Oryzias latipes: one gene and its partners. The protein of the gene in region 1 interacts with the protein of each later gene in a pairwise test. Links are inferred from orthologs where the notes say so. Each region holds a gene or a part of one and is shown on either strand. Other genes may lie near its edges.

Evidence for each region.
Region 2: the proteins of transducin-like enhancer protein 1 (region 1) and dazap2 interact in binary tests that used the Homo sapiens proteins (3 or more experiments, as listed by UniProt). The link is inferred for Oryzias latipes from reciprocal best matches to the Homo sapiens genes TLE1 and DAZAP2.
Region 3: the proteins of transducin-like enhancer protein 1 (region 1) and foxa2 interact in a two-hybrid assay, tested with the Homo sapiens proteins (2 studies listed by BioGRID and IntAct). The link is inferred for Oryzias latipes from reciprocal best matches to the Homo sapiens genes TLE1 and FOXA2.
Region 4: the proteins of transducin-like enhancer protein 1 (region 1) and Her13.1 interact in binary tests that used the Homo sapiens proteins (3 or more experiments, as listed by UniProt). The link is inferred for Oryzias latipes from reciprocal best matches to the Homo sapiens genes TLE1 and HES6.

The regions. Positions count from the first base shown.
Region 1 is NC_019867.2:10,614,122-10,622,198, reverse strand, and holds the start of transducin-like enhancer protein 1, read right to left. Parts: upstream 4,206-8,077; 5' UTR 3,488-4,205; coding exon 3,464-3,487; intron 3,163-3,463; coding exon 3,062-3,162; intron 2,521-3,061; coding exon 2,457-2,520; intron 1,642-2,456; coding exon 1,597-1,641; intron 1-1,596. UniProt on the Homo sapiens protein: Transcriptional corepressor that binds to a number of transcription factors. Inhibits NF-kappa-B-regulated gene expression. Inhibits the transcriptional activation mediated by FOXA2, and by CTNNB1 and TCF family members in Wnt signaling.
Region 2 is NC_019865.2:22,358,948-22,367,291, forward strand, and holds the start of dazap2 (DAZ-associated protein 2), read right to left. Parts: upstream 5,455-8,344; 5' UTR 5,294-5,454; coding exon 5,281-5,293; intron 1,531-5,280; coding exon 1,412-1,530; intron 1,324-1,411; coding exon 1,075-1,323; intron 979-1,074; coding exon 850-978; 3' UTR 1-849. UniProt on the Homo sapiens protein: In unstressed cells, promotes SIAH1-mediated polyubiquitination and degradation of the serine/threonine-protein kinase HIPK2, probably by acting as a loading factor that potentiates complex formation between HIPK2 and ubiquitin ligase SIAH1.
Region 3 is NC_019880.2:16,306,281-16,314,239, forward strand, and holds foxa2 (hepatocyte nuclear factor 3-beta), read left to right. Parts: upstream 1-2,922; 5' UTR 2,923-3,090; coding exon 3,091-3,162; intron 3,163-3,616; coding exon 3,617-4,792; 3' UTR 4,793-5,040; downstream 5,041-7,959. UniProt on the Homo sapiens protein: Transcription factor that is involved in embryonic development, establishment of tissue-specific gene expression and regulation of gene expression in differentiated tissues.
Region 4 is NC_019875.2:24,985,265-24,993,325, reverse strand, and holds Her13.1, read left to right. Parts: upstream 1-2,561; coding exon 2,562-2,606; intron 2,607-2,693; coding exon 2,694-2,789; intron 2,790-2,859; coding exon 2,860-2,941; intron 2,942-5,203; coding exon 5,204-5,610; downstream 5,611-8,061. UniProt on the Homo sapiens protein: Does not bind DNA itself but suppresses both HES1-mediated N box-dependent transcriptional repression and binding of HES1 to E box sequences.

The DNA of each region.
Region 1 (8,077 bases):
GCATAACATACCTGTACATTCGTTTGCTTAGTCTTGTTGTAAGCCTTTAATTAGCTTTGTTTAAAGGCTAAGTGAATAAGACGTCTGGGAATAGTGTTGCCATTTACCACCAGGAGAACCAAGCAAGCCTAACTAACTAACTAAACAGACCACAAATAATCCAAGTTGATATCAAAGTAAATCCAGACAAGAAAAACAAGGGAAACCAGATACACATGTTCACCCAAAACACTTGCAAAAAGTTTGTGTTTTTTCTAAACTACAGAGAGTTTACTGTGGTGCATTAATCCACATGACACAAGTTAAGAGAACAGAGGGAAGCTGAAAGCATCAAGGGGCACACACTGCCCTAAAAGGGAATAGGCCTCCCATTACACATATAATTGGAGCATTAATGCCACACTATACAGACCCCCCCCTCTGTACATCCCCAGCAGGAGGTGGGTTGTTAGTCTGTACCCCCCTTACCCCCCGCCAAAGAAGCTTGTTGCTCTGACAACTGCAGCCTCAAGCTAATGACCTCCCTTGGAGCTTTAGTGCATGTGTTTATGTCCGTGTGGACAATAGAAAGAGATGCATCTCCCTCGCAATGAAAGAACAGCAGCTTCACATGGACGTAAAATGAAAAGAGAGAACCAAGTAAAAAAAAAAAAAAGGACAAGAGGAGGGGTGGGGTCTGGGTCAAACCACAAGAATGATCCTGCAACCGTTATCAGAGTGGGCAAGCCAGACAGAAAAGGACAGAGGTGGGAGGAATAAAAGGAAGAAAACAACAGAAGAAAAGAACATGAGGGGAAATGCAATGAGAAGGGGGGAAAAAAAGTGTAAAAGAGACGGGGAACCATCTCGATTTCTCTGTGAAGTAGCCAAGCCAATTCACCCCTAATTTCCTCTGGTCTGACTGGTCGATAGCAGTGGTAATTACTGATGAATGCTCTGAGCTCTGCACCACTCCTGTGGGGAAATGTGTGTTTGTGTGCATCAGGAAAAAAAACAAAAGTTTCCACAGCTCTGAGTTCACACTTTTTAGACAAAAATGTGTATATTTCACCATTAATCTGCATTTTTATGTAGACTTATTACCCAGTGTATTCTAGTGTGCATGCAGTGACCTTGCTATACCATAGAGCACCTTTCCATCTACTTTAACCACCAGTTTAAAAAAAAAGGGGGAGGGCACTAACACTGTATATCCTCCATCGGCTTCAGGTTGATCGATCCCTTTGCCTCCCCGGCCCTGCCCCTCTAATGTAATAAACCATGCCGCTCCTCTAGACAGCACCAATCAATCTACAGAGCCATTCATTGTGCCTCTGGGCTCAGCCGGCCAGCCCTAACTGGGGAAATGGAGACAGAGCCCCATCAATCACAAATAAACACACAAACACACACACACAAGCATTCAATATATACAAAAAAAAGAATACACAAACGAATAAACACAAATATACAGCATCTGTGTGCCCACACAAACACAGGACATGTCAACACGTACACAACAAATACCACAAAACCCCTTTCGATAAGGAAGTGGAACACAAAAGAAGGAAGAGGCTCAAACATGAAGATGTAGACGACACAGATAAGCAGGCGTACCTGTTTGTGCATTTCAATGTTGAGGCCGTACGACATCTCATAGTACTAGAGAGAGAAGAGGCACATGTCAGTGAGATAAACCCCGAAAACTTTGAAAAGTATCAAACTAAAAAGCACATCTTTAAACAACACGGGCAAATTTGTCAAATGCTTCAACTAATAAAATAAATAATTTTTCAAATGAATACTTCAGCTTCCCCTGTAGCCATTTCTAACTGAAACTTACAGGGCTACAATTAAAAGGTAAGACTTTGATAAAAAATCATGCAGTTTTTGCTGTTGTGCATGTTTTACTAAAAAAAATGTCCCTTGATCATTGCCAGAGGCAGTTGTAGTCCAAGAAAGTAGATTCGTCAAATGCTGTACTTCAGATTCCAATGTATTTTTAAACAACTAAATTAAACTCCACTGTCTTGTGGGGTCTTCATCAATGTCTGAGTAAGACTACACATAAAAGACGCGTCTGAGGCGTTTTCCTTTGAGTGTCAATGTGGCTTCAAAGCACTTACAGGCTGTTAAGACTTAAAACACACCTTTCTGTAAAGGTAAGGAGTGTTTTAGGTATTTCAGTTTAACAATACAGTCAACACAACAGCTTCACCTGAACCAAACTGATATTTTTTACGACATTTTGTTGGCTGTAGTTTTTTTTTTTTTTTGAAGTTGCACATATTCTTGGAATGTTGTTTTAGTTGTGCGAAAAGCCTTCTTGTTGTTGTTGTGATTGTTGGGTTTTATTACACCTTTAGGTAAAAAGCACAGTTAAAAAGACAAAGACACCATAGGAGCCTCAAAAACCCAAAAAACACCAAACGCTATATGGATCTCTGTTAGGTTCAGGAGCAGAGAAAGAAGCTTACCATCACGTAGTGTCTCTGCATCTCAGTTTTTTCACTGGCCAGCTTCTCACACTCCAGTTTGAGACTGAACAAGAAAAAAAGGAACACAATCAACTCTGTGACAAAAATTCAATCATCTCTCTTTTCTACCATCAAAGTTTAGATTCTTGTCAACAAAAGAAATGAAAAAAAAATGTCTGTTTTATTTAAATGTTTGACGAGGATCGGCAGTTTCCACCTGCTGTGCCCAACATTCCATAAAAACACAAATTACAGATCAACTACTGAAAAAGTACACCAAATAATACTTGGAGCACTATCTACACATGCAGGGACAGAAAGGAAGATTTATGAAGCCTCCCTGTAACTCTCACCCATCACTGGACCTACCACAGTGAAAGTACTAACTGCTTATGTTTTTGCTTTTCACTATGTGAACCCAGTCAGGGTTGGTGGTTTTGTCTGTAGCTAGAGTTGTGTGTTTTTGTGTAATGTGGCAAAGGAGGGCAGCTGTGGTTAGATGTTGAAAGTTTGTATTAGCGGGTGGATGACAATGTGAAGAAAAAAAAGAAATTCCTCTCAGAAACAACAGGCCATTCAGAGTGAATCCCGTCTCTGTTGTCCACCTGTGGTACTGTGCCTGAAGAAACTGGAACTCCTCCTTGATGCGGTCAAGTGACTCAGGGATGGTGAACTTGAAGGGCTGGCCCGGGGCCTGATGGGGTGTCTGAAACACACCAACACACAGGATTAAGCCGTCTGCTGCATATGATCTCCTCCTGCAGCTAAGATGTTAGATCAACAACTTCTCAATTTTTGATCAGACAATATTATCAGTTCTTCTTTGATGCCCCCAGGGCAGATGTAGAGCAGAATTATCAAGGGAAAAGGAGATAAGCAGGCATGGAGCCTGAGAGAGCTTGTGGTGGTGGGGGTGTGTGAGACGTGCAAATCAAACAAAGAGGCAATACTTCCTGTAAACAGTTTCAACCTGCTGAAGTATGGAGCAAAAAGAGGAAGTAGCTTACCGGGTGTCTTCCCTGGGGAAACATTGTTATCTCCGGGGAGACTGCAAACGCGTCTTGTCCTGAAACCCCGCTAACGAGGGATCAAATGAAGCACAACAAGGATGTATGAAGCTCCTGATTAAGGAAACTAATCCATCCGCCTTTCAGTTGTCCTTAAATATTCGAACAGAAAACCAAATCTATCCACTGCTCGGTCTACGTTCATGGGCCGTTAGCGTGAATCCCCGCTCCTGGCTGGCTGTGGTCCCGGGTCGTTGTCCCTCGTCCGCTTCAGCGGCAGCGTCCGTATATAATCAACCGGAAAAAACACAGCTCATTTAGCCGGAGCCAGCTTGAAGTTGAAGGAGGACGGCGAGAACCAGGTGAGAAGGCGAGGCAGAAACCTCAGTCACTCCTGTATTTGTTTGGCAATTCTCCGGGAAGGAACCGTCAACCGAACGGGCAAAAATAACAAAAGAAAAAAATAATGGAACCGTAAAACACCGAGCTTTAGGTTAGCATCATCACACATAAATACAAGTTAGTTTCACTGAAGAGTTTCCACTTGGCTAGGTCGGTAGTCGGCGGTGAATAAATCAGGGAAAGATGTATCCAAGTCAAATTTGTACGTAAGCCTGTGTCCAAACTAGATTTTACAAAAATTAGGAAATATGTCGTTAGTTTTGATAACAAAAAACTCCCACAGCGGCACGTACACTCCTCCGTCTCGCTCTGCCTTCCATCAATGGCAACTTTCTCACGCGGTGTCACGCTTTCCGTCTAACCGAAACTCTGAACCAGCCCTCTAAATGGTCTCTAGCCAATCAGAGCCGCCGATCCACGTGGGGCCAACGACGTAGCGTCGGCAGTCGACCAATAGGAGTTCGGCAAACTTCCTCTGGTCCGTTGACCTCGATCAGCTAGAAGGATTCTAGCCAATGAGCATTCGATAAGGATGTGGAACTTTTGAGGCTTACGGGGGCGGGAATTGTGGTGTGTAAAGCAAGTTTTACCTGTCAATCAAAGTAACGTGGGCCAAAAGGAGCCGCAGATGCGTGCGCATGAAACACATCCATAAAGATGCTAACGAGCATGGGCATGTATTTAAACAAACAAGAATAAACTCTATCACATATGCGCAAAAAATAAAAAACAACAGAAATCCATGTTTCTACCCACAGAATTTCATTCTGCTACTCTCTTCCTCTCCAATTGGAGCCAATATTTGCACTCATCTTATACTAGCACTTACTCCATGTCCCACCTCCTAAAGGAGAAATCTAATGAGCTAACTCATATGTTGCATTCATAATAAGTTCTAAATTGGTGAGACAGCACAGTTATTTCATCAATGACTTTTAAAGTTTTTGAGATATTTTAGGGTTTTGGTAGCAGATTTCTTTATTTCACGACAAGATTTTGGTCAAATATTTATACACTCTGTCATTAAATAAACAAACTAAGAGCTATATTTTTGTTCGTTTTTTTCTGACCAGATGTGACAAACACATTTTTATTCATTTTCTTTTTTAGGGGGACTTGAACTATACGAAAATATACATTAAAAATGCAAAAAAAATATGATTATTAATATTGTTATTATTTGTTTATTTGTTTATTTATTTATTTATTTTTATTATTTGTAGTTTTCCCAATGGTTAAAAAAATTGTTTTTTTTCCCAAATTTCAACAAAAAACATTAATAGAATTATCAATAATGGCAGTATAAATAATAAAAATTAGGTTTTGACAAAAAAATGAATAAATAAAAAACGACAGCGTCTGATTTACTACTTGTTAGACTCCAACAGATAAAGTATATTATCCAGCAAATGTTTATTGGCTAAATAACACATAATGTTGTTTATTTGGCTAAAAAACACATAATTTTGTTTTCTTCTGCATATTTACTCTGTAAATTTATGAAGAACTTGATGTGAAAACATGAGTTGACCGTCTTATGTTCTGAAGTTTTGTCAACAAGCACCCCCTAAGTGGCAGTTGGCTCTCAAGTAACAGTAAATAAGTAAAGCGCACTTATTGCTTTCTCTACCTAATTAATTTATTTGTATCTGCTTAGTTCTAGTAAACCTGAGCGGTTTCTTATGTTGTTGGATAACAGCTAGCGGGTTATAGTGACCACATGACGATTGAGGAGGTGACTGAAACTGGGGTTTAAAAGCAGGCTTAGTGTTTTCTCTGCTCCACTTATCCCATCTAAGTACCCCTCACTTCACATAGAAAGCCCCTGAGCCCCATGCTGACCTGTGATTGGCTTATCCAGCTCAACCCCTGACCCTGCGGCCTCTGACATCTGCAGCGGCTGATTCCTGACTGTGACTAACCATCTCCCTCTCGCATTTGCAAACATACACTCCCCCTCGCATAAATACATGCAGGTGCAAGATAGTAGTTGGCACTAACTCTGTGTAACTCACAGTTGTGCATGTTTCGTTTTTATGACCTTCTCTTTGCTTTAATGTCTAAATTAACGGTGCTGTAATAAAGCCAAACCAAAAAAAATATATATATTTTTTAACCAGACTGATCAGATTGGTTTGTCTCTTCTTGGCCCAATTACACTATCATTTTTATCTTCTTCCTGACGACAGCAACGACCGGATGTGACAGAAATAATTCTTGTAAGAGTTAACGTATCTGCAGCTCATTTTACTTATTTCGCTTCCGAGAAAAAAAGAAAATCAAACGTTATCTCTAGGTGGCTACAGAACACACAAAGATGTGATGATATTGTCTCAGTTTTGAGACTTTTGGTAAACTTGCCATCTGAGAAACATGTCTGAGCATTTCCTGTTACTCATTTGTTCTGTACCATTTCTCAAAATCATGCTTTTCCCTTGTGTTGGTGACATACCGGTACACATAATATGTCCTAAACTTTGTACCACTTGCTTCTCTGGTCTTTTTTTTCCTTCTATCTCAACACAGCTGTAAATTGTGTAATTTTCTACTCATTTTGTTGACGTGAAGCATTTGAACATACCAGACACATTAACCTGAAGCAAAGTCAAATAACATCTCCCTGGAGTGTGCTGATGGGTTTAAAGCCAAACCCAAACCAATGGTTACACAGTACATTACATCTCAAGAGGTTTCTAAACAAAAAGTAATGATTAACATTTTTCTACCAGTGCCTTTTCCGCTTTCAAAGTCTGGAAAAATAAGAGAGAGTATAAAAAAATGTTTTTTTTCATCCAAGTCTATGAGTTTATCACTTGGTGACTATCATATCATAAAACAAAAAATCTAATTTATCTTGTTAAATGTGTTTACAGAAAACAAATCTTTTAAAACTACCATGAGGAACGTATGTTTTCCACACCAGTAGACTATGGACTCTGCAGGTTTTTAGTCCAGATTAGAGTTTGTTTTCCCATTTAGCCTGCTAATGTGAGCTGGTGTCAAAGGTCATCTGAACCAAGCAAATGGACTCCGGTGTGTCTGACAGTTCAGTCTTTGCACGCAACCCAAGACCTTGTCTTCACAGACGGATCAGAGTTCACTTGTTTAGTCCACACCTGACATTCCAAGAAAACAAACTCTGGTCTTTATCAGACACCTTTGGTGCAAATCTGTTCTAAACTGCTATACCATGATAGTGTGATTCACTGACTGTCACAGATATGAATCTTGTGACTTGTTCCGTAGAGCCAATTTGAAACGGCTGGATGACTCCGTTGGCTACGTGTGGGACTGGGACCTGGTTGGATGCCCAGGGGGCGCGGTGAGCTTCATTCAGTGTTAGTCCTTGGGTAAGACCTTTTGCGCTACTGCCTGTAGCCACAAGGGGGTCAGAGTCTGGGTCCCACAGCCCAGATAAAACACAATGTTATGTCAGGAAGGTCATCAACCGTGAAACACTGCCAAACCACCTGTGCGAACCAGTGAAAGCTGATTCGCTGTGGCAACCCCTAAAAGGATAGGCTGAAAGGTAAATAACATTTGAGCCCATTTGAAGCCTTTTTTTTTTAGGTTTCGAGTAGTCGCCATTTTGGTCAAATTGTTAAATGCAGCATTTCCAAAGAAATAAACAGAAATGTGACACAAACAAGCCAGTCTGTTGTCAAGACACACAAAGACCTGGGTACCTGTCAATCAAAAGGCCACATCTCATACTCTTTCCAGGAGGGTTGACCTGAATTTTGAATCTATATCCACGAAAATGAAAAAAAAAAGTGTTTGGAATCTATGCATGTAAAAAAGAAAATTGGAGCAAATCTTGCTGAGTTTCTTTGAGTGGTTACTTGTTGAATTGATTTGTCTCCAATAGGTTCTTTTTTGCAAATGTGTTTCAATTCAGAAGCTAAAGTCCAAACTTGATCTGGCTTAAGATGCCTTTCATGACTGAGAAAATGAAAGTGTAAGTCCTCGTGCATAAATACAATCAAACTGCATGTAATAAAATGCAAAAAGATCAGGGTGTCATGAAACTGTGGCTGCCTCAACTCCTGTTTTTCAGACTCTTGTTGGGTTCTGCAGTTCTGCTTGGGGTCAGCACTGTTTCTCTAATCTTTATACATATGAACTGAAATTACAGCATCGATGAACTCAACTCTAAATGTGATGTTTTAAACGTGACATATCCACCATTCATTTTTTTTTTTAAATATTGAA
Region 2 (8,344 bases), on another chromosome or scaffold:
GCTTCGGTTTAGGGCTAACCCCAGTGCTCTTTGGCACTTGACTATGTTCATCTACAAGTTGCCCAACAAGGTACAGTAAACCACTTAAGATATTGCATCAAATCATTATTATTTTTTTATATTTAAGTTTTTATTTTTTTCCATTTACAAGCAATTTAAATAGAACGATCTGTCAGATTGTTCCATGTGCAACAAATTTGATTTGGGTATTTTTGTGCAAAAGACAATGCGATGCTAGCTAAAAGCATCCAGGATGCTTTGTTGATGTTGTTGTCTTCCCCATCTTAACAGTTGAGATGTTTCATCTCTTGATCATCAGAAGAATATTTACAAGGAAGTATTACACATCTAACTACACGTTTAAGGATTTTTCAAAAAAGACAAGGTTTCTTTTTAACTAACTGCAACTTTGCATTTCACTGTCACCATAAAGCAGCTAAACTATAGTAATGCAGTATGATATTTCGACATTTCAACTATTTACTTTCACAGGATTACAAGGACGTCTCCATTTAATTTGTAACATTGGATCATAAGAAAAAAGCGGGTCACTTGAGCAGATACGGACGCCTGGTAGAGTTCCAATATGGAGGTTCGATTCAATGGAGGATTATGGGATGGGTTTTCTCCAGGTGGTGTCGTTTTTATCGTTTCATTTCCAAGTCAGAAGTGGAGTACTGTACCTTTTACAAGGGCTCTAAAATATTACATTCCGTTAGGTGATATCAGTATTGTGGCATGGCCAAGCAGCCTAAAGAAGGAGGCGTATGGGATGGGGGAGTAACAGGGGTATCATCGGGGTGGAGGGGGGCGGGTATGGTATAGGCATAAACAATGAGGGACTTGCTGTTACCAGATGGTATACCCTCCATTGGATCCGCCCATGAAGAAGTTGTTCTTACGCTGCGTCATGACAACGTTGGCGCCTTGCATGGCGGCCAGCTGAGCTGCGTTGGGGGGGTGTCCTGGAGGTGGTGGCTGATGAGGGTTGAAAAACAAAAAAGAAGAGTTGTTAGGGACAGCTTAAAAACTTTTGCAGTGGATGTGGCTTTTTCTGCAATGCTGGGTACTCACTGGGATGGAAACGCTACTGCCAGCTGAGAAGCGAGCACCAGCATCAAAGCCACCTTCAACCATTACTGTTGATCCAGGGGAGTACATTGTTCCCATGGGATAGTAAGCCATGGGGACATTCTGGCCCACCGGTCCAACCTGCATGTGTGGCTGCATGGGCATGTACACCTGGGCGCCAGGATAAGGAGAAGACATCTGCGGCACCTGGCCAGTCATCTGAGGTGGAAGCACATACCTGGGCTGGTATATCTGCAAAGAAGGAAAACAGGTGTTTTAAAAAAAAAGCAACAACAGGTTTTCGTCTGTTAATAGTTTAGGTTATCAAGAGGAGGGCTACCTCAGAATACGCAGGTGGTGTATCCGTGTAGGGGGGTGCCTGAGGAGACATTTGCATAGCAGGAGGGTACACAGGTGCAGTGCTCTGCTGAGGATACACAGCCTGCTGTGGATATGAACCTGCAAAACAGCATTTCAACAAATTACAGTACCAAAAGATGTATTTTTACCAACAAAAACATGTCCAAAACAAAGTATCAGAGCAAGAGTGATTATTCTGGCAAAAAGAATGACTGAGCTGTTTATTTGTCACTAGAAGTCTATGGGATGTGGGCGTAATATTATTATTATTATTTCTTTTTTTGGGGGGGGGGGTTATTGAAGCCAGCGGGTAGTTCCTGTTTGGAACGCAAGGAGAGGAGTCAGTCCTATACTCACATACAATCAGTGGATTCACCTAAAGAAAACCTACAAACCCCAAACATTTTACTTTATATTATAAAAACCTCTATCTGGTGCATTAAGATATTAAGATATTAAAAATAAACATTTTTCCTTGTTATAAAAGTTTAATGATCTTAAAGAATATGTTTACTATTTATTTGTACCCCTTTGATCACTATATACTACTATTTAATATCAAAATGCATATTTGATAGAGATGTCACAGTTTTGAACTGAAACCAAACCTTATGATAGACCCCTGGCCAGAGTAGTGGGGAATCAAACCGGTGCGTCCCACCTGCATACCAGTGTGTCAGACACGTGTTGTGCTAAATTTAAGAAGGATCTATAATTTCTTGTTTTATTACATTGCACCAGTCTTAGTATGAGCCAACTAAAGGGGTTTTCTTTCATTGTTACTGGCTTATTAGCAAATTAAAAATCTTTTTTTTTTTTCATTTGTAGTTTTTGCTTGCTTTGTAATACAAAATCTAAATATCAAACCAAATCAAAACCATGGCTCAAAAATAAAGGTTTGGATCGAATCGTAATGTATATCTCTGCATCCTTGATTGTTAATATGATTTTAACAGAAAATCCTCATAAATTATCTTTTTTTTAATGTAGAAATCATTATTTTTATAAATATTTTTTATCTGAATCTCTCGTTCCTTGTCAATGTGTATTGTTTAAATTATTTTAAAACTTTAAATCTTCGAGCAAAGCAAGAAAAAAGGGAAATTTCAGAGAGACATCTGTATAGAAGACAAACTACAATATAACAAATACCTACAAAAATGAGACAAAGCAACTATTTTGTTTTTCTAAGATGCCAGACAACACTGAGCCCTGAATCTAAAGGGCCTATACCAGGCAAAAATCAAAATTTTGAGCTTCAAAGTGTATTATAATGTTCATTCCTTGCAAAAAAGAACCCCCAAAGTGGTAATTTGACCCATTTATGAATTTCTGAGCATTCCTGTAAAAACCTGCTCTCTGAGCACCAGCCCCTCCCAGTCCACAAAAACGATTGGGTTCTCACATTGTGATGTCACAAAGTGAGGAACAGCCCCTTCTAGGAACAGTCTGCACTGCCAGCTCCGCCCCCAGGCAAACACACACACGCAGCCTCACTTTCTCCGCCAAGCTAGTTGTAATTGGCTAAAGGCTTTTCCTTTTATATGCACAACAATGTGCTCCTGGGCCGTTGTGACATCACAAAAGCTAATTTATTCTAACAGAGAGTCTTTGCAGCAGTTTGATTGACAGCGATTTAAAAGGACAAATACAAAAGTGAAATGATTTTTTTATTACATTAGTTCTCCTTCATAAGAAAACTGCCACAAACTTGTCAAAAACTCAAAACACATGATATTCAGAGGAGGACTAGAAGTCAAGCCGGAGGAAAGTCTTGCACCAACATGAGCTGTGAACTGTTGCAGGAAGAGACCAGTTGACATGGGTGCGAACAGAAGGAAAGATTGGGAAAATGCTGGCGACTCGATAACGTCTTGAAAAGACAAATTTTTGTTTGTAGATTTGCTTACTTAAACACATATTCCCTCAAAACGTTATTTTCTTTTAGAAGGAACCCAGGACAGTCTGAGTTCGTTAGCAGGTGTTAACAGGCAAAGAATGATCTTTGGGATCACTACCTCCATGAAACTTGGAGTTTTATGATGAAATCCAGAGGCTCCACCCATCTACTTTTTTTTTTTTTTTACAGGGGGGGGGGGGGGGGGAGACAAACTATTACTAGACCACTTTAACTGGCTACTAAGAAGAGCGAGGCCATTTGCTTTATTTTCCTCATCTCCTGGATGACAGAACTCCTCCTCCTCCTCTGCTCAGGAACAAGCTCAGCCACCCTTCAGCAGAAGCTAAATCTGGCTGCTTGCTTTCATGGTCTCAGTCTTCAGGTCAATATCCAGAGCTCAAGACCATAGATGGGAGTTGGAACAGAGATCAATGGGCAAACAGAGTTTTGATAGTTGACTCAACTCTGTCTGGTGGGACTCAAATCTACCCGTCAAACCATTTGGACCTAAAAAAAATACTGAACGATCTATACAAGCAAGTCCATTCTATAAATGACAAGACTCTTGCATTTGAAAAATTCCCCTTAGACACTCGTCATGCTAATGCATTAACCTGGGATGCCAAAGGTCACTGAAATGCTGATTTACTCGTTTGGGTAAATGCCTGGAATAACTGACCTCCAGATGCGACAAATAGAAACAATTTTAGTTTGTCGATATAAAAAATACAAATCACTAATAAAAACTGGTGCAAAGATTTCCCATTCAAGTCAGAAATACAGAGCTTAAAATACAAAAAATGATTCATTTGCATAGCCAATTGATTCTCTTTAGGATAAAAAAATCTAAATTGTTAGATAAAAAACAAATTTTTGTCTAAATAGAAATTCTATTGAGACAATATTGAAAAATGGTCAGCTAATACAAAAGGGCTTTAAGCCATTATGTGATAATTATGACAGGTCTATTAGCCAGAAAAAAGAAATCTTGATAGTTTCAGAAAGCTCCAGGGAAATTAAAGGTTCACATTGTATAGTAGATTAGTTTTCATACCATTTTATACCATTTGTTTAACTTCTATTTTAATTGTTCTGTATTTCTTATGTTATTTTTATAAATGGATTTAACGCAAGCCGTAATTAATAATACAATTTTTACAGAAATTACGTATCCAAAAATCTGCCCAAATCAAAAGAAATAAAGAGAAAAAGTTGAGTTATAAAATTGATAAAATGGTTAATTGATAGAAAACAAAACCCATTTAAAATAATATTTCATCTTCGAATTAAAATTGGCAAAGGTTGTGTATTTTTAACTGAAAACATTAACTGGCTCTTTTCACCACATAAATTATAATTTAAGGTTATATTAAACTTGAGAATTTGAACCGTAGATGTTTTTCCAGTAAGCTAGCATTAAGACAAGCACTATAGCCAAATTAGCAACTAGCACCATTTCCAGTAAGGTGGACTCAAACATAGGTGATTGGTCGAATAATGTAATTTTTTTAAATATTAAAACAATAAGCGTTTATTCACGACCAACAGGAATAGCCACCAAACTAACTAACGTTACCGTAAATTATCATGCGCTGATGTTTACATGGACAAAAGCAGGAAACAAACAGTGATCCTTAACAGTGAAATCATGTGAGCTTCCCCTTTAAAATCATGTTAGCTGGCTGGACAGTATGTGACCTGCTTAGTAAACGGCAGAAGAATACAATGTGACACTAAATTTACATTGCTAACAGTTTCTGACGGTTTGGGAAAAAGTCTAGGTTCGGCGAAGGTGTTTCCCAGAAGACGCCAGCGTATTGTTATCTACGTAGCTAACGTGAAGTTCGCATCAGATGCCATAACGATTAGCTCCCCGTCTCTGAATATAAACGCCAGCGTCGTTAAAACGAACAACTGGCTAATTATTTGGTGGCGGTCTGAAGGCATACCTTTGTTATTCATAGTTGTGGATTGATCCGGAGGTTGAAAAATATCTGGTTTCACTGAACTCAACGAATCTTGTCACGGCCTTCTTATAGGTTACGGCTTTACACAATCATCCACTTCCTTGTTTCTCTGCTTCTTGTTGTTGTGGAAGTGGTTACGTCATTCTTTCTTTATCTGCGCTCGAACTGCTCACAGTTTGATCTGCACTCGCGCGCCGCCACCTGGTGAACTATGGAACTGTTTTAAAAAAACAAAATGAATCACTCCATCTTCTATTTGTAGGTTAAATATAAAAGAAATACTTGGTGTTTGATGACTGTAAAATTTACAGTTGATGTAAAACTTTTTTTGTCAACTGGCGCCAACAGTAAACTAATTCATACAATTGTAATGGATATTGATCATTTAGATTCTTGAAATATTAAAAGACAGCACAGCTATCAAAATGTAGACATTAAGAATTTTAATTTTTCATTTTAGTGTATAGTTAACTGTTTTTTCATAAGAAAACATGTTTTTAAATTAACCAAAAACTTTAACCAAAACTTTAAATAATTTAAAAAACACACTAACCAAGAAGGCTGCATGAGGAAACGAGTAAACTTGCAATGTGCAATATAAGTGATCAATATTGCAATTACGAAATGACTTACGCTACATAAAAAAAAATAACTAATACATCATTTCCAATTCACTGCAAAAGTTTTACTTGAATAAAAGTCAATGCAACCTAAACGATATTCCAAATGACCCTCGTCTACACAGGAGGCAGGGATCAAACATAAAAGAGGTCCATCTGATTGGTTAAAGGACTTTATTTCATTTGTCAAACACTTCAAGCTGCCATAATATTGCTTTCACATGTGTGTAAACATTAAAGGTAACTATTTATTGCAATTTACGCTGTCTGTAGCAATACGCATATTGCACAGGCTATTGCGATAATGATAAATATGAAATTTATTTGGCAGGCCTACTAATGAACACATTAAAAAGACAAAAGAAGAAAAAACACATACAGTCCTCTTCCTACACTATTTTATTCTAATTTTTAAAAATCCAAATAAGCCCTAATACCACTTTAAAGTCCTTCTCCGATAATCTTTTGATATATTGTAAAAGCATTCCCAGTGGACCTTTAATTAGGTTTACGTTGTTTTTACACTCTCAAATATTTACTTGCAATTTAACACAATACTATACTACACTATACTATATTCCAAATGAGTATTTTTTATTTTGTAGGAGTTATAAAATGTATATATTTTTAAAATTCCAATTGTCCCTAAAACACTAATGATCATTTTTGTCATTCACATAGACAACAAAAAGCACACAAAAAAAAACTAAATAGAGTTTTGACAAACACATGACAGCTACTGATTATTAATCCTGTTTCAAACTATTAATATATAAGCATAACTTCAGGAGGCTCTTTGCGGTGGAAAATTGCACATAATCCTCGAATGAAGAGTTCTGGGAAGCATCTTTGGGAATATTTGGTTGGTGACACACTCCGCGCGCGGCCTTCGGGAGGAGGCGCGGCCCCTTTAAGGGAACCATGGCACCGCTCGAGTCGAGGCAGACATCTTTCAATGCAAGAATTTTCCTTGCATAAATTATGTTCATGACGTAGTGCAAAAGGGCACTTTTAGGGCAAAATTGTCCAATTTTACAGCTCAAAAAGGGACTCAGTGAGCCACCTAGGGGGATTTTCGGTCATTTTGAGTGTCGCGGGGAGGGCGTCGTCTTTGCATTTAGTGGGGAGAAGCCCGTCGTTGCAGCCCTGCTTATCAATGCAAATGCCTCTCTTTTGTGTGCAGTTACAGCGCCTGTCTGGGAGCTGAGGTGAATTTATAATGATGCGTGACTGAAACAAGCGGCGACAAGGAGCCCCTTTGAACGCGGCGGAGTGCGGAAGAACAGGCGGCTTTTGCGGTAAGTTGGAGAAAATAGAGCGGGGCTGTGTTCAGGCTCGGTCCTCCGCGTCGCAGCGAAATGGCGAGAGGAAATGAGTTTGGGTTAATATGCAATGCTCGTAATTAGCATAATTTATATATTTATGATAAAGAGAGGGAAATATCTAATTTTCAGTCTCGGCACGGGTTCAGAGGGCTTCCTGCTGTCCGTGCTCGGTGCTTTGCCTCTGAAGTGGCCGACGCAGAGGGACTTTTATTGGCCGGGATGGGGGTGGGGTGCCCGTCAACCCCCGCTGAAGTTTTGACAGATCCCCTCCGCTCCTGACCGAGCTCTGCTGCAGGAAATAGTCCTCTACGGAAGCTGGGATAAATTTGGGTCACTTCGTGCCTCTTTGGAGGCAGTTGTCTACATTTTTTGTGCATTTGAAACATTTTTTGGGTCTATTTTCAGGACCTTCTGGTCCAACAACCACTAAGCATTTTCCCCATAAACATACAATAAAGTCAGCTCTAAAGACACACTCCAATCAAAATTATGTTTTTTGACAAAATCTTGTTGCATTTTTCTCACGATTCGTCATATGACGAAAACTAAGATTAAAATTGTGTCTCTGAGTATTTCTTGATTCAAATCGCTGTAAATCAGGAGCAGATGAAAAAAATGCTTTTGAAAAAGCTTGTAGACGAACTACAATCAGCTGGCCAAAAGCTCCCTGCTCCATTCCGATGCATCCACTTATAGAGGACTGGATCTATGAACGTCTTCGTTTTCCACATCTCAGCTGGAATCTGGCTCAGAGCTGTACAGCTGGATGGCTCCAATGTTACTCGCCAGTTTTTTTATGCCGGTTATGTCATGTTGGGGCTGCGAGGGCCTGGAAGCTAGCGGGAGAGCACGTAAACAAAGGCATGATGGGGAAATAAGTGTAGGCTTACTTTGTGCCAACAGTCCCGCTCACAACCTAATGAAATTCTAAGCTCTGCAGAAACTATGTACTAGAAAATGACACAGGTTTTTTTGATGTTTGGATCGCAGTGGGGGTTTAAGGGACTTGGGAGTTGTATGTTTTTACATTTACAAAGTCTGCATGACGAATGAGAGGGTTTTGCATGATTTGTTTATGCAGGACGCCCAGGAGAACTGCAG
Region 3 (7,959 bases), on another chromosome or scaffold:
TAATTCAATAAAAAAACTCTTTTAGTATGTTTCTTCTTAGATTTCCCATAAATCCCTGAGGTTTCTTTGTTTTTTCCAGATTCTGTTTTTTTAGGAGTTTTTCCTTTCCGCGAAGGAGGGACTAAGGGCAGGGATGCCCAGTTAAGTTTAGTCTGTGTAGTCAAAGTTTAGTATTATCCTATTGAATTCTATGCATTTATGATCCTTTTTGATTGTATGTTTACCTTACAATTACCGGTGCGAAGCCCATTGAGATGACTGTTGTTGTGAATTTGGCCTATATAAAGTAAATTAAATTGAAAAACAAAAATTGAAAAACAAAAAATTAATAACTTATATTTCATTATGTCACGTTGTTTTAGATGTTTGTACCTTGACTTGTTTGACTTTGGAAGTTAAATCTTTGTGAATAAATAAACAAAGTATTTTGAAAATGTTTTTTTTTTGGCTAAACACCATCACTACAACTTTAACCCCACTGGCAGCATAATTTCCATCTCCATAACATAATCAATGTTCTGTAAGAATAAAAAACAGTTTAATTTCATTTGAAGAGGGACAATTTCTACAACAAATTCAAATCAAGTTCATGCACCTTTGGGTTTATTCACTGTTTTAACCAAAGATAAACAAATTGGAGCTATAGGTGGAGGAGCCTGAGGCAAAGCAATATGGTTTGGTCAAAGAAACCCCTGATGTTACTCCAGGAAAATATATTCCTCCTTTAGTCAGAATTCCTTCACTTAAGCTATTAAACAATGTTAGTTAAAAAATAAATAAATAAAAACTCAAAACCGGCTGACATTAGAACTGCAAGAGGCCCCGGATAAGGTTTTTTGACCAAATCCAAAATGTGACCTTCACCCCAATGAGAGAACCAAGGCGGGTTGATGATTAACTCTGGAATCGGAGACAAGTCTCATTTGGGAACATAATGTCACTCAGGTCATGGAAAAAATTTTAGGACTCAAGTGATGCATCTGGAATTTCCAATTCAGTCTGTTTTTATAATCAGGTCATTTAGACAGAAATCATACATCCATCTCACAGGAACTTCTGGTTCTAACATTTCACTTAAAAAAGCTGCAGGTGCGTTTGAACAAATTCCAGAAAAATGCATGTGAGGTGACCTATTTTTGCATATTTATGCCAAAAATTACAAAGTGTGAACAAGTGACACTAAAATCTGTTTTTCTGAAGTTTATAATATCAAATTTTAAAACTCAAATCTATCCTTGTTTTAATCAAGCTGTACTTTGTAAACGGGCTTTGCTCCTCAGTGGTCAGGTCACAAAACGATCGATGGAGCTTAAACCTTTATATGCGGAATGGCCTCGGAGAGAATTCAACATTTATATTAATTCATTATTTAAATAAAAAATGAGACCATATTAGACAATAAAATTTGGTAAACATTTTTATACAAACAAATGTTCAAGTTGAGAAAAAAGCGCATCCCAGCCCGACTTCAGCCGTGCGCCGGTGCAATCCCAAATCCTCAAACACACAGCCTTTTTCTCATGATCTAATTTCCAAGTTAAGCAGACTGTGTTAGTCCCTCGTCAACACCACAGGTTTACTCGCCTTTACTAATGGGGCTCTATCCTGATAGTTTTGCTCTTGCGTAAATATGCAGTCAAATAGATGTACAACCACCGACACGTGGCTGACGGCGCTCGGCAGCCTCACCTTGATGTTTGTTTCATACAAATACAGTAAGGGCTCCGGGAATCAGGTTAACACTGCAGCCCCTGGACTCCCTTTTAGAAGAAAAGCTGACACATATATTTACCTCCACTACTTAAAAAGCTCCTCACAGAAACAGTTGCTACTATTTTAGGAAGGATGGAGTGAACTGCAAAAATTCTGTAAATTTAACGAATAATGAATTACATGTTACATCACAATGGATATCGACTTTATTATTTTTACTGAATTGGAGTAAAAATAAAAATGTGCTAAGTGCACATAATTTAAACAAATCTGATTTTTTCAGTTTACAGAATTTGAAGATTTAACATTTGAAGAAATAACCGAGAGAGGGCGCTCTGGCGCTGCGTCTGGTTTATTTACCATCAATGAAAACATTTGGAAATATTTTAATTCACTCATGCAGGTCGAGAAACGCACCAAACACTAAAAAAACGAGCGTTCTCTGTAAAAAAAATCACCTTCATTTTTATTGTTTTATGATTTTTTCTGAGAAATAAAAAGGCATTGTTGTGTTTCAAATTCGAATGTGACTATAAGTAAAGAGCTGCTGCAAAATAAACGAGCTTTACCTGTTTTTTTTTAGCTTAATGATTAAAGGCCGTTTTAAATCACAGCTGTGTTGTGCGCACGTGCACATATGTGAACTCGTTGCAGCTTTTAGTTCTTTAACATCCTTGAAAAAAAATTGTCAAAAAATTGACATATTCCGTAAAAGGTACTGTTTTTTTAGTATAACCTGATACACAACAAGGACCTATTCTTGTGTTTTGCGCAAAAGAATCATGTAAAAACAGTCTCATAAATGAATTGATTTTCGTATTTTGTGGTTCTACTTTAAAATATTTAACAGTTAAGACCAAAATTCCTTGAAGGTATCAAAAGGTTATGATTTTAGCATTGCTGAATGAGAAAAACTCCGTGCGTAAAAGGAACTCTGAAAGCGCACGACATTCCTTTCCCTTTTATTTCCCCCTTACAATAAGATTAGTTTTAAATGAAGCTTTTCATATGAAACTGTTCTTTTCACTCAGCGCAGGTGTACAATTGGGGTTGGGGGGGATGAGAGGGGGAGCCTGAGGAGTCTCACGCCTAGGTGCGAGGAGATTATTCAAATAGGGCCCAAGGCGTAGAAGTAGGGATTGGAGGCTTGCCTGGCGCACAGAGCTATATCACAGCGTTAACGAGCAGCACGGAGCGTCATTTGAACTCCGCTCACTGACAGACGCGTCGCGGCTGTCTGTGCGCGACACACATGCGCCAGCCCTCGACAAACGGACACGCCGACCACCCAAAAACCCTCAGTGGTCCCCAGTCACTTGCTGTTAGAAAGACTTTTTGGCTTTTCCTCTGCTGGGAGACGCTTCGTTCAAGTCCTCCATGATGCTTGGAGCAGTTAAAATGGAAGGACACGAACACACCGACTGGAGCACATACTATGGAGAGCCCGAGGTGGGTACCTTAAATATAAATATATATATTTTTTTCGGTCTAAAGCCGATCCCATTTAATACAACTCAATATTAGCCCTGAGATAATATTAACTTTGTGATCAAATATTGACTTGAGGCGCCTCCAAATCCTCCCCCATCTCCTCGCAGCGCGCTAACCTAACAAAGTTGACGGATATGCGACGTAGAAACTTTCCCCTCAGATTTATTATTAAAAAACAAATTTAAATCATTTTTTAATTCATTTAGAAAATGTGGGGGATTTGCCTTGTATTTTTTGATGGAAATTTTCAGCTTATGTGTTAGTTTCATTGATTTTTTTCCATATAAAAATGTTAGTAGTAATTGAGTTTTACGCAGTGAAATTAACATACCCGTAATTGTGTGTTATTGAATATTCATTTTTTTGTATGATGCCAAATTTCATGAACATTTCTTCCCCCCTTCACTGACAGTGTTACACCTCTGTTGGAAACATGAACACCGGCCTGGGAATGAACTCTATGAACACCTACATGAGCATGTCCGGCATGAGCACCACCGCAAACATGACGGCCAACTCCATGAACATGTCATACGTCAACACGGGCATGAGCCCCTCCATGACCGGCATGTCACCAGGCACCGGAGCCATGAACGGGATGGGAGCAGGCATGACGGCTATGAGCACAGCCCTGAGCCCCAGCATGAGTCCTATGACCGGACAGCCTGGGTCTATGAACGCCCTGACATCCTACACCAACATGAACGCCATGAGCCCCATTTACGGACAGTCGAACATCAACAGGTCCCGAGATCCAAAGACGTACCGGCGGAGCTACACGCACGCCAAACCTCCGTACTCCTACATTTCTCTCATCACCATGGCCATCCAGCAGTCACCCAGTAAGATGCTGACGCTGGCCGAGATCTACCAGTGGATAATGGACCTCTTCCCCTTTTACCGACAAAACCAGCAGCGCTGGCAGAACTCAATCCGCCACTCTTTGTCATTCAACGACTGTTTCCTCAAAGTCCCCAGGTCGCCGGATAAACCCGGAAAGGGCTCCTTTTGGACTCTTCACCCGGACTCCGGCAACATGTTTGAGAACGGCTGCTACTTGAGGAGGCAAAAGCGCTTCAAATGCGAGAAGAAGATGTCCATGAAGGAGCCCGGCCGCAAGGGTGGAGACGGCGGCTCTGCCAACAGCAGCTCGGACAGCTGCAACGGCAACGAGTCCCCGCACTCTAACTCCTCCTCCGGCGAGCACAAAAGGTCCCTGTCGGACATGAAGGGGAGCCAGGCCCTGAGCCCGGAGCACACCGCGCCCTCCCCGGTGTCGCAGGGGCAGCACCTCATGTCTCAGCATCACTCGGTCCTGGCGCACGAAGCCCACCTCAAGCCGGAGCACCACTACTCCTTCAACCACCCCTTCTCTATTAATAATCTCATGTCATCGGAGCAACAGCACCATAAAATGGACCTTAAGACTTACGAGCAGGTGATGCACTACTCTGGATATGGCTCCCCCATGACCGGAGCGCTTTCCATGGGCTCCATGGCGGGTAAAGCCGGCCTGGATTCTGCATCTATACCCGACACATCCTACTACCAAGGGGTCTATTCCAGGCCAATCATGAACTCCTCGTAGGCTCCCTGTATGCAGACTGCCCCCCACCCCCATTCCAGTTTGTACATTTGTAAAAAACAAAAACAAAAAAATATAGACTTTGTGTACTATATGTATTTGAGATATTTTTGACCTTTCTCACCGTTTTAGTTGTTGAGCTTGTTAGACTGTAAGGAGAATAAAGTGTTGCGCTTCAAAGATGGACCCCAAAGACACAAAAACTGCTGTAAGATATTCACGTTTGCATAAGTGGACACAGAAACCAGTTTGAATTCTTTGCCAGATCTGTTCAGTCATTTGTGTATTTCCTATTTATGGTCTGTATATGTGTATTCTTGTAGTGACAAGAATAGAATCTATATTAAAGTGTTATTGTTTTGCTTTCTGAACATGTCGGTGTTTAAATTATTATTTTTAACATTATCACAATTGTGCAAAAAGGAGTTGAAATCCCTGTTTTCCAAGCTATATAAGACGGAAACTGGAATTTAGGCGTTCAATTTGCATAAAGTACAAACAGTAACAACGTTTATTCAAACTGTATTCCTAATTTTTCTATTAAATAAACACACAAAATATAAATGTGACCAAGAATAAATTATTGGGCAATTAAATCGATCATGAAATATCACAAATAACCTGTCAAAAACACAAGGAGTTTAGCATGTTTGTGTCTTTTTTTATTCAATAAAAAAACAAACATATTCTCACCCACGTGATGCTCCAATAAAGGCGCATACTTTCCACAGCGGATTAATAGATTTGCTTCATAAAACCGGGTACAATGCTCTCAATTTGTCTCACAGGAAATGCAAACAAAACAAATATATGCTCATTAATCCCAAACGCAAATGGATATATTGATGGAGGGGTGTGGGAGTCAAAAATCAGCATTTGCTTACACACTGTTTTATAAAATTTTGAATATTTTTGGTAAAATCTCAACAAAAATTGTTATAAACAGGACAGGAATTTTTTTAAAGTCACACATTAGTCTATTAGACTGTTTGCGCGCGCACATGCAGGCAAATTTACCAATATAGAAATATTTATGAAAGTCCGATTATGAGATTTAACGCTCGTTTAATCTCTGATTTAAATTCCCCCACACAGAGTATACGTAGGTGTCAGTCAAGCAGCATCCATGTCACTCATTTCCCCCCGCATCTGTCTCTTCCCTTTTTTCTTTACACGAGTCCCAGGCGCGCGCACGTGAACGCGCATGCAAAGTTTAGATCACTGAATGAGATTAAGAGTCATTGTCCCATAAAAACAGCCTCCCGTGGCGCAGGAGAAAAAGGGGGCTGATTCTGGAAAAAAGGGCCGCCTGAATGTGATGCTCTAACTTCTCTCCCCACAATCTGGGCTTCCATTGTCTGCTCCCTATTTTCAAAGTAGTCGGGCCCTCCCCTCTAGTTAGATAAGATAGGCTTGTCCATGAATCCAGAGAGCCCTCCTGCTGCCTTCCCTTCCCTGCTGGAAGCTCAAATCCAAGGCCGGGGACGGTGCGTGGACGGGGGACATCTCCGCAGCCTATAACCACACAATGGCCCCGTCGACTTCTGAACGCACGGGGCCCTAGTGTGCGTTCATTCTCCAGACCCTCTTTTAGATCGTACTTTAAACAGCGTGATCTGCGAATAAACAAAGCCAGTAAACAATTGAGTGGAGGCTATGCCCACATATAGGAAGTGTACACACACAAACCAAATTGCACAAGTGTAAACTTTGAATAGGACGCAGCAGCTCTGTCAATTTACACAGACATTAAATTTCGTTCTATTCATTTTAGACATATAATGCTGAGCTGATTTTTTTTATAGTACACTGATCGATATCTCTGTAAAATAATCTTTTTTTTTAACTAGCAGGGCAGTGAAATCTTTGCTTTGTGCTAAAGTCAACAGTGACAGAGTTTGAGCTCAAATAAATGCCGTGATGTCTGAAGCTCTTTGCAGAAGGCAGAAGGCGAGCTTCTACAATGGGCTCCTCTGTGGCTTTGCCAACGACATGCAGCAGCTATTTTGCACAGGTATGACGCTTTTATTATATCCACCAAAATGCTATATTTCTTTTAAAAACTTTTTTTTATTCGTGAACTCTTGAGGGTCCGGGGTAATTTTCGGGCTCGACTAGAAGGAGGGGGAGCAGAGGATGGGATCCTAAAGTCATGGGAAACAAGGAGTGTTGGATTTGGAGACAGGGTGGTGCAAAGCTGAGGATCTGCAGGTTATAAGCTGGAGGAATAGTTGGAGCTCTTGCGAGGGGATGCGCTTCTGCACTGCAAAAAGTACAACAAGAAATAACTGATGAAGATGTAAAAAAAAAAGAAAGAAAGTTACAATAGGGTTACCACATGAATATTTTAACTTAAACGAAGACATAAAAGAATATATCATTTTACTTATAATAACAATAAAAACTAGAGATGGACTTGTTTTTGCAAAAAGAAAGAATAACCGCCTCTTGATCCGGGACTGATGATGCGCCTCTTGTTATTGGATATTTTTTGCAGTGTGCGGCTGATTGATATCATGTTGCAGCACAGATGTCATGGAGGCATGAAAGCTTAACAGAACCGACCCCGCGGCTGTCTGAGCACGCGCCCAAATCAGCGCAGCTTTTTTTTTTTACCGATTCGCAAACAAGAACATTTTCATGTAAAAAATAATTTTGATTTATGCAAAAAAGTGTATATTTCAGATATTATTGCAATAATAATAATAATAATAATAATAATAATAATAATAATAATAATAATAATAATAATAATATTAGCAAAGTTGAGGAGAAATTAATACAAAAACCGTTTAAGTGCTCGAAGGGCTCTTTAAAACATAATTTAGCCCCCCCCCCTCACACCAATTTGATATCTCAGGGTGGGATAACCCGGTTGAACCCCCTTCAGCGCACTCCGGGGGAGGGAATGGCCTCCTGGATCTTTGCCGGTTCAAAGGTAGCCATCCTGGCGGTCAAACACGCGCCGAGGCCACAGCATTGCACCATCCCGATATTCCGACATTACGCGGGGGTGTTCTGTCCTGAAGATGTCATCTAAAGATTCTGTTGAAATAGCAACCAAATAAAAAGATGCTTGTTGATCCATTTTTCAACGATAATCCCCGGATCTCTCTGCATTTTCCATAGTCGGATTTTGAGTATATCTCTATTAGAGGCCCGAAAATTAG
Region 4 (8,061 bases), on another chromosome or scaffold:
ACCATGATTGGGAAATTAGAATGTAAAGATTTAGCATGAGGAAAATAACAGAAACGTTTAATTTTTTTTTTGTTTTTCTTCTTAAATCAATTTCCTGAGATTAAGCTGCAAACATGCAGAGATCAGATCTGATGCATCTATGCATTTAATCTGTCCACTTTTGGATTTGCTTCAAAATTGTATGACTTCCACAAATGTAACACTCAAACTTTCTTCGGTTTTTATTTAACATTTGGTTTCTCTGGTTACAATTAGCATCCCCCACTGTCAAACAATTGTCCTAAAAAGCAAGAAAATACGCCGCATGCTTCTGGAATGTATTTTATATATTCCATTGTGGGAAAAAAAGACAATTGGCTTTAATGCTGCAAGTATTTACTCCACGTCTTACCCCCCCCCCCCCCCCCCACTCTATTCTATGACAACAATTTACAGGAAAATTTATTTTTTTTCCTCCCCATTCTTTAAGGGAGACTTAATGGTAAAAGATTTAGAAATGAGATGTTATTAAAATCAGTTGCTTTTAATTTAATAACTGGAAGTAATCAGATGATTGTAAAAATCACATCTGACTTGTCTGCGTACACTTTTGAAATCTAATGATCGAGAGACCATGACTGACATGTTTCAGTGCGTTGTCAACTTTCGTTTAAACTTCCCGCAGACTTTTGGTCATATTTTATAAAGATTTGTTGTATCTTTCAGAATTACTTGTACCTTTAGTCACATATTTGTATAATGAAACCTATGTAGAAAAAAGGTCAGATAAGCATACTTTTGATGAACTTCCGTGTAAAACAGAAAATATGGATGGATTTCAGCCATTGCTATTGTCTTTTACCCTTTTTCTTCTCTACCCGTTTTAACTAATCTAAACGAAACTGTACTCGCCATTGTTTCTCATTTAAATTCTGTGTAAAATGTATACATGTAGTTTTCTCTTTTGAAAATGTGTGGACTGTGGACTGTCATTTTAGGGAGGGGTGAACTTTGTGTGTCAGGGTAAATATAATTGTTGTTTGTGGATATTTGTCTGTTAAGTGGTCCTGTAGATTAAAACTCTATGGTATTTTTTTCACCTTTCGTTTTATCATCTGTGCTTGAATGTACATAGAATAAGACCCCCTTGAAAACACAATGTTTCAACTTAATCGTCTTTTAAATCTAGCGGTTTAAATCAGCTAGGTCGATACTTTTTGCAAAGAGGGACAGATTTGGTGAAAAGGTGTGATGGCCAACCTTTCAGCCTGCATTTTTGAACCCTTACAATAACTTTACATTCAAATGAACAATTTATTTATATATATATTTTTACAATGGGATACTTTTCATTTCCTTGGAAGGTAAATATATCTAGATATTAAAATAACATAAATTTCTGATTTGATGACTAGAATTTTCTTTTCTTTTTAATAGATATTAAACCTGCATTTATGTGAAATTTTTCATATTATCCACTATTAGATGGTCATTGTAAACTTCTGAATTTAAATTACGCTAACAGCAAAACAAGAAATTGTTATCTTATAAACAAATAAATCTATTCTTCTCATTTGGCCCTTGAGGCTCTAAAGGGTTAAGTTGTTGCCACAATTTTACCACATGAATTAGCCAAATATAATTAAGTAATGTAGATTTTTTGTTTGATTTTGTTTTTGCTAACTTTCTTTCTTTCTTCCTTTTTTAATGGACAGGCTTTAATAAGCTAAGCTTCTACCTGCTCATTTTCCAACATGTGTCTATACTATTATGGTCAAGGACTGCCAAGACCGTATTGTTTTCGCAACGATGGACAAAAACTCAAAAAGGTTTAAAAAGCCCTCAGAGGAAAGGAATAAGCCCAAGAAGACACGACCAATGTGTAGTAAAACACAACAAACAAAGAAAGACATTGGTCCTAACCTCAGACACTTCTATATTGTATCTGCTTTGTTTCATCATTATCATGGCCTGCAGTGGTCCCTGACTGCAAGGACCATATTGTTTTCACAGTCGGAAAGGTTTCTGCGCCTTTGAGCGAGAATGTGACCACTGCCGCTTACTCAAAAAGTCACCAATATTTGGTGGCACACACCTGGCAAAAATGAATTTTTAGCAAAGTGAACGACCCCCCCTGTGAGAACTATGGGGATAAAAATCGTTGTGTGTGCAAAGGCAGTTTTCACAAAGTCAGATTACTGGGATTACCAGAAAAAAAATGACACATTATATCATAACTTAAAAAATAATTGATCACATTTGTGGTGAACATGAAAACAGACTCTTTACCCACAGATGCTAAAGAAACTTCTGACATTTCCTGGAAATGGCTCTAAAGTTCAAACACACTTTGATTCTTTCAGAGGGAGGAGAATCCAATGACCCCCCCTCCCTCCTATCTTAAACCCCTGATTCACATGCAAATGACCCTCAGTGGTGTGGACGCCCCCCCCCCCCCCCCGACCCCCTCAGACAGCAGCAGCATCAACGGCTCTTCCTCTCCCTGCGTCCCATCTGCGCCTCTGACAGCCTCCAACGGCTCTCCGGATTACCCCGCATCCTCCTGACACGAGGCGAGCAGCATGAGCAGAAGGCCCGGAGCAGACGGAGGTCCGGCCGACAGGAAGGTAAGAGCGGGAGCGGACACGTCTGCAGGCCCGAGCGCGGTGGGGCTGACCCGGTGACCTCGCTCTGCTCCTGTTCCTCTCTGGCAGATCATGATGATGAGGAAACCTCTGGTGGAAAAGAGGCGGCGGGCCCGCATCAACGACAGTTTACACGAACTCAGGCTTCTCGTCGCGGATGCTGACGTAAGATTTCGTCTCCAAACACTTTAGTTATTCAATACGTTTTGTGCCATAAATGTGTTTTTAAATCTAGCTACATGCGAAGATGGAGAACGCGGAGGTGCTGGAGGTGACCGTTAACCGGGTGGAGAGCGTCATGCAGAACCGTGATCAAGGTAAGAGTGACGCGCGTGGGACGTTTTCCAATCATAAAACTAACATTAATCGACTAAAACGTTACCTACCGCAGTATTTTTTAAGAAATATAGTTCGTACTTAAAGTTGGTGGCGTAATAATATTATAATTAAAGCTGTGCTAAGGCCACAGCTCAGCCAATTGGAGTAGAGTTTTAATTAACCTTTAATGAACCCCTTAGAAACACACTCCAATGAAAATGGTGTTTTTAAAATGTTCTTGGAACATTTTTCTCTTGATGGAGGACATACATAGAGAAAATGAAGAATAAAATGGCCTCTTGAATATTTCAGTAGAATGTAAACAAAGGTATGATGGGAAACTGATCAATTTTCTGAAGTTCTGTTGCTTTGCAGAAACGATGTCTTAGAAAACGACACAGGTTTTTTGATTTTGGCTAATAATGGGATAAAAATAATTAAAAGACCACTGGAAACGCTTTGAAATTAGATCAGAAGATGACTGGAATGGGACAAAATCCTAAAAATCTTATATCTGCAATATTGACATTGGATCTGTTTGATTTGATACATTCAGGAAGAAATAAAAATATTGTGAAGACATCTAGATGTGTTAGTCAGATTTTTCAAAGTCACAAAAAGATGCTGAACCCCACTTTGCTCCTGGTTGTAGGTTTTCATGGCCAGCTTATCCTCCATTGCAATTTGTAATCACTCAGGTTGCAAGGTTATCCAAAGGGAACCACTCCAATTGCTGCAAAATGTGGCACAAGATGATGACATGATCTAAGACAGGAATTTTACCCCCGTAGTACAATAGCATGCATATCACGCCATTTATCCTATAATTATTATGAACGACTAGAGCCTGTTTATACTTCATAGTGATTTGTAATCTCTTGGGTCACACTGGTTGCAAGGTCATCGGAAGGGAATTGCCCCAATTTCTATGAAATATGACACAAGATGATGACATCATCTAAGACTGGAATTTTACCCCTATAGTGCAATCACGTGCAAATCGTTCCATTCAATTTTTGCTTATCTCAAGTGATAAGGCTTAAAATAATTACACTGCGGTGGAGCAAACTCAATCCAGAAAATTGTGGTTTCCACGTCCCAGGATTTCAAAAACAAAGCTGCTTTTACTGCACTCAAAATACTAGAGGGGTTAGACATTATTTCATTCTTACGCAGTTCCAAAAAAAACAAAAAACACAACATTTTCACTGCACATGTGGCCTGGGCTTGAACCTCGTCTCTGCTCCTGCTCCTACACCTGGCTGTGGATCCTCTCTCCGGCGCGACTCACGCCGCCGGCCGTCCCCCCAAACTCCGTCTGGATGAAGTTCGTCTGCTGGACTTTAACCCTTGTGCTATCTTGGATGACCCCACCCTTACATTAACGTGTTCTCCCTACCATGACAAAGGTGGATAAAGGTGGAAAGATTTCTTGTAATTCATGGACACCAGTGAAGATCGCAAATCATTGAAGAAAAAAGGTTTAGCGCACTGTCTAGTGGGTCTAGATGACCCAACTCCCAATGTTAAAATGCCTAGGATAGCACAAGGGTTAAATATGTAGTTATAGAGTTTGATAAGTTAATTCTTCTCTATGAGTTCTGGTAAATCTCCTGCCCGTCCTGGGGGAGGATCCCTCCTTCATGTGGGCACCCCTGAGGTTTCTTCGTTTTTTCCAGAATCCGTTTTTTTTAGGAGTTTTTCCTTACTGCGAAGGAGGGTCTAAGGGCATGGATGTCCAGTTTAGTTTAGTCAGTTTGTTAGTTCAATTTAGTGTTTTCCAATTGAATTCTATGTATTCATGATCCTTTTGATTTTATGTTTTACTGTTGTTGTGAATTTGGGCTACCGGTATATAAATTGAATTGAATTAAATATTTACTTTCTAATGCAATAATAACTTCAGCTGTTTTCCATTAAGATATGGAGCAGGTGACAATTCATTTCAAATGGGCCTGTTTAAAAAAAAGCTATAAACTATAGTTATTTGGTATGTTCAAGCTGAGCCACCTTTATTGTGTGAACGAGAGTGCATGGGTAAATGGGACTGTGTGACTGTGAAGTGGTCCTTCAAGGAAGCTAGAAAAGCATGAAATAAGGATACATCATTTACCATTTTACATTAATGCCAGCTATAGGACAATGAATGGCAGTTTTATCTGTTTACATGATCAATTCAATAATCAGATTAATTGAGAAATCAGATGATTTGTGTTTTGGCACACAGTCTCAATGTTGGTGGTCTTGTATGTTTTCCTCAGATGTGGACGCAGTAAACCGAGAGGCATGTGAGCGTTTTGCTGCTGGCTACATCCAGTGCATGCACGACGTGCACACGTTCATGTCCAGTTGTCCGGGGATAGACCAAGAACTGTCTGCGGAGTTGTTGAACCACCTTCTGGAGAGCTTGCCCCTGAATGAGCAGAACTTGGTACCGGACGCTGCATCACACCACCCTGGCCGTAACAGCACTTATGCGCCGCATGACAGGCTGCAGATGGCCGGGGTGTCCCCTTCACCTTTTGCCTCCTCCACTGATGACCTCAGCTCTGATCTGGATGAAACGGACTCGGAGCACAGTCAGCGTTCAAACTCAGAAGAGGGAAGAGAGAGCCACGGAACGCCGCATGGCGTACATTTTTCAAAAGTTCTGTGGAGACCATGGTAGAACAAGTCAAATGATCAGTTTTTGGGAAAGACCTTAGCATGTGACAAAACACATTTTGTCAAGCATTTAGCTAGAAATAAACTATCTAATAAATACATTCACGTAGGGCTTAATGAAAATATGTGGCCCTCCTATAGGGTATAAATGCATTTGTAAATATGTACTTGTGTCAAAGACAATAGCTGTCCCACTAACCTAAGTTATTTTCTTCCTGCAACTTTTATTTATAGATGACTTAGTGAGCCACCTTTCTCCCCTTCAATAAATAACTTTCTAACAAATGGGTTTATTTTAAATTTCATTTGCAGAAAAAAGCAGGCACATTTCACACTCAAGGATCCCACAAACCACCCACCCTCATCTGCTACAATATTAGCTATTACTCTGCAACTGTGGGCCCATTTGTGCACTCTCTCTCGCTCAGCACATCCTAGGCATTTGTGAGGTGTGAAGTGAGTAATCTGCTCACTCCATATATGGCTCTTCTTGAGCTCATAGATGCTTGTTTTTCAAAGATAACTTGGTACCTAAGTTGCCCTGTCATGTTTCGCTTAAGATTTTGCTTTTGAAGAGTGTGCCATGCTCTTGTGCTTTAGTGTATTTGCTGTGATTTTCAAAGACAAGCTGAATTTATAAGCAAAAAGTACTTGATCTAATTTTATGACAATCCAAATGCATGTGAATTGTGTGCATCTCAGGAAGAAGAAGCACAGCATCTTAAGAATAAAAGTCTCTTTTCTGCTTTGGCGCCATCAGCTCCTGCGGCTTTGCTTTACGAATAACAAAAGGCAAAAGTTTGGAAGCCTCTGTGATCTGTTTTGTTCTTGTGATTCATTTCAAAGTGTCAGTTTTAACACAGATCACAGAACAACACTAAGAGTGACAACAAGTGAAAAAGCAAGAGAAAGAGAAAATCAGTGAGGGGGTTTACAGCAGAGCTCTCCGTCATCGGGGAGACTTCCTGTTTGGAAGGCCTGGATAATGTGGGATAGACGTCTCAACATCTAATAGCTGACTCAAGCCAAATTGCCTTGAAACTTTAAGGTCTTATTTACATTTCTTTTTTCCAGGTAATTTGTTCAGATTAAATGAGACTCATAAAAGTGACTTTAAAACTTTGCAAAATACAACAGAATGATCCAAATGCATCCGTTTAGCCCAAAAAGGTTATAATGGCAATAGCACCTGCCATGACAAGTTTTATACTACTGATAAAATAAATATTTTTCAACTAATCTGTGCTATAAATGCAATTTCTGTATGATTTCAATCATTCAATCATTTTTATAATCAAAATGACTGTATTTTTGGTATATTTTTGTTCAGTTGCAGAGTTGGCAGCACAGAGCAAACTGGGTTGAGCAGGTGCCTTTTGCTAACTCTGTGTGCTGCTAGTTTAAGGCTTTATTACAAGGTTATCCATAGATAATATTGTTATATGTCTTCACTTTTTATACAACAGTTAATGTAGTTCACAGATCACTTATTTACAGTATTATTCAGATTTGACAAGACACAAGCTCAGGCAGGCAGTAGCTCTGTCACGACTGAAGAGGGCGCACACGAGCTCATGTTAGTTCTTTGGGAGTTGCTAATAAAGTTCAAAAAGTGTCATATTTTATCATTTATTTATTTTTCAGAAACTTTATTAGGTATTACAAAACATTAAAAAAGGTAGAAGAAAACACTACACATCAACATTATTGTCCAGAGGTTTAAATAAAAGAGTCCTTAAATTTGTTTTGACTGACTGCAAACATGGTGCATGTAATGTCTTCCATAAATTAGGACAACTACCTACTTTTGAAAAACGTACACATCAACATTTTAATTTTTTTTTTTGTATTGGCGCCCACATTATACTAATTTTAACACTTAAACGTTTAGGTATACTGTTTGCTTAATGGGATTTCTTTAAAAACTGTTTTGATTAAGCCTTGTGGTATCCTAGGCACTTTTAACGTTGGGAGTTGGGTCATCTAGACCCCACAAGACAGTGCGATGAACCTTTTTTCTTCAATGATTTGTGATCTTCACTGGTGTCCATGGATTACATGAAATCCTCTTCACCTTTATCCACCTTTGTCATGGTAGGAATAACACGTGAATGTAAGGGTGGGGTCATCTAAGATAGCACAAGGGTTAAAAGTTGCCATACCGGCAAAGTTTAAATCTGGGATGTCTAAGAGGTTCTATGTTGTTCAGGAATAACATGTCTGCTGTGTTTTTTGTAGTACTGTAGAGGTAGTGCTTTCAACTGGTAAAATTGATCTTGAATGCTTTGGTGGGTTGTTTTATTTTTATTTTTGTTTCAGTGATAATTTTGCATAATTTTCATTTGAAAGGCTTTTCTTTGACTTAGTACAGATTGTTTTTCTTTCTTAACCTTTGTGCTATCCTGGGCACTTTAGTTGGGTCATCTAGACCCCACAAGAAAGTGCGATGAACCTT